Linked DNA regions of Rattus norvegicus. The protein of the gene in region 2 purifies or fractionates together with the protein of the main gene of each other region. This does not show direct contact. Links are inferred from orthologs where the notes say so. Each region holds a gene or a part of one and is shown on either strand. Other genes may lie near its edges.

What was found.
Region 1: the proteins of Sox2 (region 2) and Khdrbs1 purify together in Homo sapiens (affinity purification with mass spectrometry; 3 studies listed by BioGRID and IntAct, with this or other methods). This does not show direct contact. The link is inferred for Rattus norvegicus from reciprocal best matches to the Homo sapiens genes SOX2 and KHDRBS1.

Annotation. Positions count from the first base shown.
Region 1 is NC_086023.1:147,352,877-147,356,524, forward strand, and holds part of Khdrbs1 (KH domain-containing, RNA-binding, signal transduction-associated protein 1), read right to left. Parts: intron 3,147-3,648; coding exon 3,013-3,146; intron 1,462-3,012; coding exon 1,260-1,461; intron 868-1,259; coding exon 800-867; intron 1-799. UniProt on the Homo sapiens protein: Recruited and tyrosine phosphorylated by several receptor systems, for example the T-cell, leptin and insulin receptors. Once phosphorylated, functions as an adapter protein in signal transduction cascades by binding to SH2 and SH3 domain-containing proteins.
Region 2 is NC_086020.1:119,463,613-119,468,021, reverse strand, and holds Sox2 (transcription factor SOX-2), read right to left. Parts: upstream 2,892-4,409; 5' UTR 2,529-2,891; coding exon 1,569-2,528; 3' UTR 480-1,568; downstream 1-479. UniProt on the Homo sapiens protein: Transcription factor that forms a trimeric complex with OCT4 on DNA and controls the expression of a number of genes involved in embryonic development such as YES1, FGF4, UTF1 and ZFP206. Binds to the proximal enhancer region of NANOG.

The DNA.
Region 1 (3,648 bases), on a different chromosome or scaffold from region 2:
TTAAGAGAAACCAAACAAACAACAACAACAACCCAGGTTAAGCTTCTAGCTTGTTCTTAGAATCATAGGCATCTCCAGTGTGGATGGGCTAAAGTGACTTGATTTGTTTTTCATGAAACAAAGCCTCCTGTATCCCAAGCTGTTCTTGAACTCTTGATCCCATGCTAAGATGACATGCAGGACAGCACTCTACCAACTGCATACTTCTTTCTTCCAAACCCGAGTGACATTTTTTGTTTGTTTGTTTTCCGGAGCTGAGGACCAAACCCAGGGTCTTGTGCTTGCTAGGCAAGCGCTCTACCACTGAGCTAAATCCCCAACCCCTGAGTGACGTTTCTTTTTTTTGTTTGTTTTGTTTCGTTTTGAATTTATTAGTACATTGTTGCTCTCAGATCTCATTACAGATGGTCGTGAGCCACCATGTGGTTGCTGGGAATTGAACTTAGAACCTCTGGAAGAACAGTCAGTGTTCTTAACCACTGAGCCATCTCTCCAGCCCCTGAGTGAAGCTTCTTAACAAACAATTATTTAATGGTATTTTTCTCTTCCATTCTATATAGCTCAGGAAATGTTCATCAATTAGTTTAAGAGCCTAAATTAGCATAAAATTCAGTTATCCAAATTCTCAGAGCCACAAATATGCCATCAAGTCATCAAAAGTGGAGGAAATACCTTTAAAACATTAGATTACACTATTCCTTAGGGTAGTGTTTGCCCAAATCTTTAGTCTCTCCAACTCTACCCACCATCCATCTCTACAGACACTGCGCAGACATGACTTCTTGCCTGACTCACTCACCCTTGACTCTGGCTGTAATAGCCTTCATAGCCTTCGTAGCTCTGTTCTGCATATGAATCATCATATCCCTGGAACGATAAAGTAGAAGGTCAGAACTGCATAAAGAGAATCACAGCCCATAGGGGATCATGGGCATTTGAATGAACAGGCTACGGAAAATCCTCAAAAATACTAATACCAACTGCAGAACAGAAAGACAAAACTCAAAAGGTTTTAGTATTACAATCTTAGTAAAATTCTGTATGTTAAACCACAACTTACTTATTTAACTTATACAGACAAAGTAATAATGCCTAAAATAGAAGAAAAATCGTCTCATACTTCAAAATTCAACTGAACAAGAACACAGATTCCAAATCTTAAAGAACTGTCTTCTATCTACACACAAGGGTAAGACCCTTATTACTTATCTGGCAACCTAGGTATGGAAGAAACAATACATTGTTCAAAACATTCTTACATAATCTTCGTATGTTTCTGGTGCAGGTGTTGGAGGCAAAGGTATTCTCTGAATACCAGCTGTCCGAGCTCTCGGTGTTGGAGCACCCCTCACAGTAGGTGGGGGTGGCACCCCTCGAGTCACAGTGGCACCTCTGGTGATGGAGCCTCTTACTGGGGTTCCACGAACCAAAGCCCCTCTAGGTGGCCCAACACCACGTCCTCTACAAATAGAAAATTTACATTAATTTGAGATTTTAATAATTAGGCCACATTCATATTAAGAACTGTTCATAAATTCTAGAAGTAGGATGATTTTTACATTTCGATTACTTACTCATTTAAGACAAGTCCTCCTATGTAGCTCTGGAACTCCACCTGCTACTGTCTCTACTAGGTATTAGGACTAAAGTTGTGTGTTACCACACTGAGCTAACCTTAACACCCCCCCACCCCCCACATGACCCCCAAGACATTTCTGTGTGGAACTCACTCTGTAGACCAACAAAGATCTTCCTGCCTCTGTCTTCTTAGGGCTAGGATTAAAGGCATTTACCACCACTGCCGCTTAACTTTAATTTTTTCCAGTATATACGCACACATAGTTATTATTTTATAATTGTCATCCAATGTGTATGGATATCTTGCATGCACACATGGTACGCTTTGTGCCCACAAAGGCCAGAAGAAGGTGTCAACAAGAGTGTGCTGGGTCCTCTGGAACCTGAATTATAGATGACTGTGAACCACCATGTGGGAGCTGGGAATTAAACTGAGATCTCTGGAAGAGGAGCCAGTGATCTTAATGACTCTCTAGGTCCTAATTTTAATTTCTTAAAGGAAGGCTCTGCTGCCACACTTGGTAAGTCAGAGCCTGTATCCCTTGCTTGTCCTTTGGTTTTTACTTTTCCTTCCCTTTTCTGACAGGGTTTCACATAACCCAGTCTGGTCTTGAATTCAGCATGTAACTGAGGACAGCCTTGTACTTCAGCCTTCACTTCCTAAGTGTTGGGATTATAACTGTGTGTCATCATCCCCTGGAGTTTGCACAGTGCTAGGATCAAACCCAGAGATTTATGCATGCTAAGCAAACCCTCTACCAACTGTGGCCCTTCTCTAACCCTAAAACAGACGTTAAAGCACAGAATAGCATACATATAGGGAACTAGACTTCAAGATTCTCTGGGCTCAATCACGATCATAGCACCTCAGGCAAGTCTCGACTGTCTGAATATTACATAAATATTAACCACGAAAGGTAAAATTCTGGAATCATATATAGTCAGGCATGATGGCTCATGACTTTCATCACAGCACTTGGGAGACAAAAGTGGATCTCTTTTTGAGTTTCAGATGGGCCTGGTCTATCTAACAGGTTCCAGGGCCACATAGTGATTAATATTCTTTAAAAAAAAAAAAAAGGCAACTGGGGATGAATGAGACGGCCTAGTGGGTAAACACACCAGCTGATTAAGACTGACATTGAGTTCAATCCCCAAGACCAAAATATAGGATTCCTAACACACTGTCCTTTAACTAACACATCCACACTAATACACTTACACCCTCACACCCACCACCACCACCAAGCTCACAAATGGATGGATGGATATATGGATTTTTTTTTTTTAAATGCTAGGACTATCCAAAATTAAAAACCCTGAAGTTTCAGTAGGACTGCAATACCCGACTGCTAAGATTCCATACCTGATGTACTATATAAACCCTCTGACTCCTCCTGGGGTTAGTCAGATTTTCTTTTTAACTATTTTTACCTGGGAACAGGTGGAGGAGGAGGGGCAGCTCCTCGTCCTCTCACAGACACCCCACGACCACGAGAGGGTTCAGGAACTCCATTCAAGTAGGACAATTCTAGAAACTGCTCCTGGCAGATATCATCCATCATGTCCTGGGAATTAAAGACAGCAAAGAGCACCTGTAACATCTGCTCCTCCTCCTACTCTTTCTTTTTTTTTTTTTTTTTTCCGGAGCTGGGGACCAAACCCAGGGCTTTGTGCTTGCTAGGCAAGCACTCTACCACTGAGCTAAATCCCCAACCCCTGCTCCTCCTCCTAAGACTCACAAGGCCCACCAGGTCTGACACTGGAGATGGTAGCACACATCTTTGATCCCAGCACTCCTGGATACAGACACAAGCAGATCTCTGATATATAGGCCAGCCTAGTCTACAATTTTGTTTTAGAACAGCACGAGCTACCCAGTGAGATGAAACCCCATCTCAAAATACCACTCCCAAAAAGAGTAGCCTTGAAAGGCTAGATGAAGTCTCAAGTCAAAATTCTTTGATGTCGAATTACACTGTCAGTTCTTTGAAGAAAGACTTGACAGCAGACCCTCACTAATGAAGTTCTTCAGAAGGTGCTTCCTTCCTAGCTCTCCCTTGACCACTC
Region 2 (4,409 bases):
TACCCGGCAGTACACTCGGCGTGTCTACTTTGTAATTATTCCGATACAAGAAGCATCATTTTCCCCTATAAACCACATTTCAAAGGGCCATTGTGTTGTGAAGAAAATGAAAACCAACCCAGCCAACCTGGTTCTGATTTGGCTCAGTACCCCATCTACTAAGCTACACGAAAAATTTCAGAATCGTCTCGTTCTGGCAACAAGTGCTACAAGAGAGCTTAAGCCCACATCGCGCTTATTCACGCTGCTCAGGAAAGGAGGGGGTGGACTTACAATATATGCTTCTAGTTTCTATTCTAGAAATGTCAGCGCATTTCAGTTTCCCGTTTTTAATCATCCAGCCATTTTTTTTTCTTCTGCAGTTAATGCTAACAGACATTGCTGGTAACACCAAGATCTTGGTGGCTGAACAGTTATCCAATCCCCCAAGAAGTTATGTACAAGCATGCTAGCCAAAGAAATGAAAGACTCAGGCATAATTTCAGTGTCCATATTTCAAAAATTTATTTATCTCAAACTGTGCATAATGGAGTAAAAACTTAAGTTGGAAACGTAACTGTTATAAGGATGGTATTAGTTCAAATATATACATGGATTCTCGGCAGCCTGGTTCCAATAACAGCCGAATCTTTTAAAATACAACTACGGAAAATAAAAGGGGGAAAAAACCTTAAAATATCACAATTTACAGAAATATTACAAACCATAAGAAAATATTTCAAACACAGTAATTTCCATATTTTTATGTGAACAAAATGAAAAGGGTGGGATTGAACAAAAGCTATTATAAATTACCAACGATATCAACCTGCATGGACATTTTTTTTTTGCCTTTAACAGTAAGTTAAAAATTTAGTACAATCTAGAACGTTTGCCCTAAACAAGACCACGAAAATGGTCTTGCCAGTACTTGCTCTCATGTTTTCCTTTTGTACAATTTTAAAACTAAAACGTTCAAATCCGAATAAATTCCTTCCTTGTCTGTAACGGTCCTTAATTTAAGCTGCAGAATCAAAACCCAGCAAGAACCCTTTCCTCGAAAAATATTGGCAAATTCTCAGCTTATAAACAATGGACATTTGATTGCCATGTTTATCTCGATAAATACTGTACAAAAGTTGCTTGCAAATATTAAAACTTTTTTCATCGCCCGGAGTCTAGTTCTAAATATTACTGGTAAAGACTTTTGAGAACTCCCTGCGAAGCGCCTAACGTACCACTAGAACTTTAAAAAAAAGTTTTGCGTAGTTTTTTTCCTCCAGATCTATACATGGTCCAATTCCCCCGCCCTCCCCGCCGCCCTCAGGTTTTCTCTGTACAAAAATAGTCCCCCAAAAAGAAGTCCCAAGATCTCTCATAAAAGTTTTCTAGTCGGCATCACGGTTTTTGCGTTAATTTGGATGGGATTGGTGGTTTTTTTCCGCAGCTGTCATTTTGCTGCGGGTAATGAGATTTTTTTTTTCCTTTTGAGCATTCAGATTTTTCTTACTCTCCTCTTTTGCACCCCTCCCAATTCCCTTGTATCTTTTTGAAAAATCTCTCCCCTTCTCCAGTTCGCGGTCCGGCCCTCACATGTGCGACAGGGGCAGTGTGCCGTTAATGGCCGTGCCGGGCACCGGGCCGCTCTGGTAGTGCTGGGCCATGTGCAGTCTACTGGGCGCAGCGGGCTCCGGCACCTCGGCGCCGGGGAGGTACATGCTGATCATGTCCCGGAGGTCCCCGGCCTGGCAGGGCGCCCTGGAGTGGGAGGAAGAGGTAACCACGGGGGGGCTGGAACTGGCCTCGGACTTGACCACAGAGCCCATGGAGCCCAGCGCCATACCGGGGGTGCCCTGCTGCGAGTAGGACATGCTGTAGGTGGGCGAGCCGTTCATGTAGGTCTGCGAGCTGGTCATGGAGTTGTACTGCAGGGCGCTGACGTCGTAGCGGTGCATCGGCTGCATCTGTGCCGCGCCGTGAGCGTTGAGGCCCGGGTGCTGCGGGTAGCCCAGCTGCTCCTGCATCATGCTGTAGCTGCCGTTGCTCCAGCCGTTCATGTGCGCGTAGCTGTCCATGCGCTGGTTCACGCCCGCACCCAGGCCGGCGCCCACCCCAACCCCGCTCGCCATGCTGTTCCCGCCGGGGGCCAGCAAGCCTCCGGGAAGCGTGTACTTATCCTTCTTCATGAGCGTCTTGGTTTTCCGCCGCGGCCGGTATTTATAATCCGGGTGCTCCTTCATGTGCAGAGCGCGCAGCCGCTTGGCCTCGTCGATGAACGGCCGCTTCTCGGTCTCCGACAAAAGTTTCCACTCGGCGCCCAGGCGCTTGCTGATCTCCGAGTTGTGCATCTTGGGGTTCTCCTGGGCCATCTTACGCCGCTGCCCCCGGGACCACACCATGAAGGCATTCATGGGCCTCTTGACGCGGTCCGGGCTGTTCTTCTGGTTGCCGCCGGTCGCCGCCGCCGTGGCGTTGCCTCCTCCGCCGCCGCCCCCCGAAGCTTGCTGAGGGCCCGGCGGCTTCAGCTCCGTCTCCATCATGTTATACATGCGGGCGCTGGGCGCGGGCGCGGCCCGCCGGCGGCCGCCGACCCTCGGCCCGGCCGGGACTGCGGGGGCCGCGCGCGGGGGCCGGGATGCAGGGGCCGCGGGCGGGGTCGTCGGCGTGCACGGCCTTGCGCGGAGATCTGGCGGAGAATAGTTGGGGGGAAGCGGAGCTCGAGACGGGCGAAGTGCAATTGGGATGAAAAAACAGTCGCTCTCCTCCTCGGGCCGCCGCGATTGTTGTGATTAGTTTTTGGAAAGGCTTAAGCCTCGGGCTCCAAACTTCTCTCCTTTCTTTTTCTCTCCTCTTCTTTCTCCCAGCCCTAGTCTTAAAGAGGCAGCAAAGTACTTTTCCCTTTTTGCAAACACTCTCTTCTCTGCCTTGACAACTCCTGATACTTTTTTGAACAAGTTAATAGACAACCATCCATGTGATGGGGGCTGTCAGGGAATAAATGGGTTTCCGGCGGCCAATCAGCGAGCGCCGGCTCCTGCGCCGGAGCCCAGCCTCGCCAGAGGGTTTTGCATGAAAGGGGGCGGGGCCTGCCGCGCCGCCGAGCCGAGCGCAGCGGAGCGCTGTGCCCCGAACCGCGCGGGGGAGGCGGGCCCGCAGCCTGCAGCCCGCCGCGGGGGAACCTTTGTATCCCCCCCGTTCTCAGCAACAGGTCACGGCGGCACGCCTGTTCGAAGGAAGTGGGTAAACAGCACCAAGACGACAGCTCCTTTCCCCCATGCTACGGAATATTGGCTCTCTCTTGGGTACATAAGGGTGGATGGGGCGCGGAAAGCTGGGGCCAGGGTGGGGCGAGGCCCATGGGTGGTTCGGGGCGACCGTCCAACTAGTATTTCAGGAAGCTGGCAGGGCCGGAGGTGGTGTGCCATTGTTCCTCCGCTCATCCGCGGCACTGCTCTCTGTCCCAGCCCCTCTTCCAACCTTGTTGCCAACACCCACTCACCCCCTTTTCTCACAGAACAGACCAGAAGTTAGACCCAGGCCTCAGCGCCCTCCTGGCTTCCGCGTCATCGGCTGGGTTCCCAAACAGGAGTCCTCTGCCCATATGGCTGACTGTAGAGCTAGGGCCAGGCCCTGTACACAGCCTTCTTCTAGGCCGACTCAGGTGTGGCTCAAGGAACCACAGCACGTGTCCTGAACCCTAACTCCCTCCTCCACCAATCTGTCCCATCTAAAGGGTGCAAACGCAAAGCTTGAACTCACTCCTCCCTCTCTTTCTAACCCCCAACCCCGACACAAGAGGATTTCAGTGATGGCAATTTCAGATGAGAGCTAGGGGACGAAAGAATCAACAGAAAGAAGCTCCAGAGGGCAGAGGATGGGGGAGGGTCACGCAACTTCCTGGCATCCCACCGCGAGGCACGGAGGTGGCATTTAGGCTGCGCTCACAAACTCCCTCCCACGCAGCGTTCCCAGGATGGGGCAGCGCAGCCCGCATTGCCCCTGCTGATTGGCACAGTGGTAGTCGCGAAGGCCCGGCCGAGAGGCGCCGGGGCCTGGGAAACGCGCGGGGTCCAGAGGTGCAGGTGCAGGCGGCGTGCGCAGAGGGAAGGCCGGCCGAACCCGAGGAGCCGGGACCGAGCAAGCCCAGGCTGTGGGAGAATGGGCTGGGGGCGGAGGTAGGGGCTCAAGAATCTTGCCCGCCCAGGACCCGAGAGGGTAATTTTAGCCGATCTCCCATTGTCCAGACGTAAAGATTTCAATCGGCAGGCGCTCAAAAAGCCCAGAGCCACAGCACCACGTCCGTTACAAATAGGTAGTTTTGTTTCTCTTGTTGTCGCTACACGGAGTCAAACAAAGCCCCGTCTAAGTTTCCTTCCACTCTCTTGTTGGAACCTTTGTGGCTAAAATGCACTTGGGTACAAAAGAGGGGA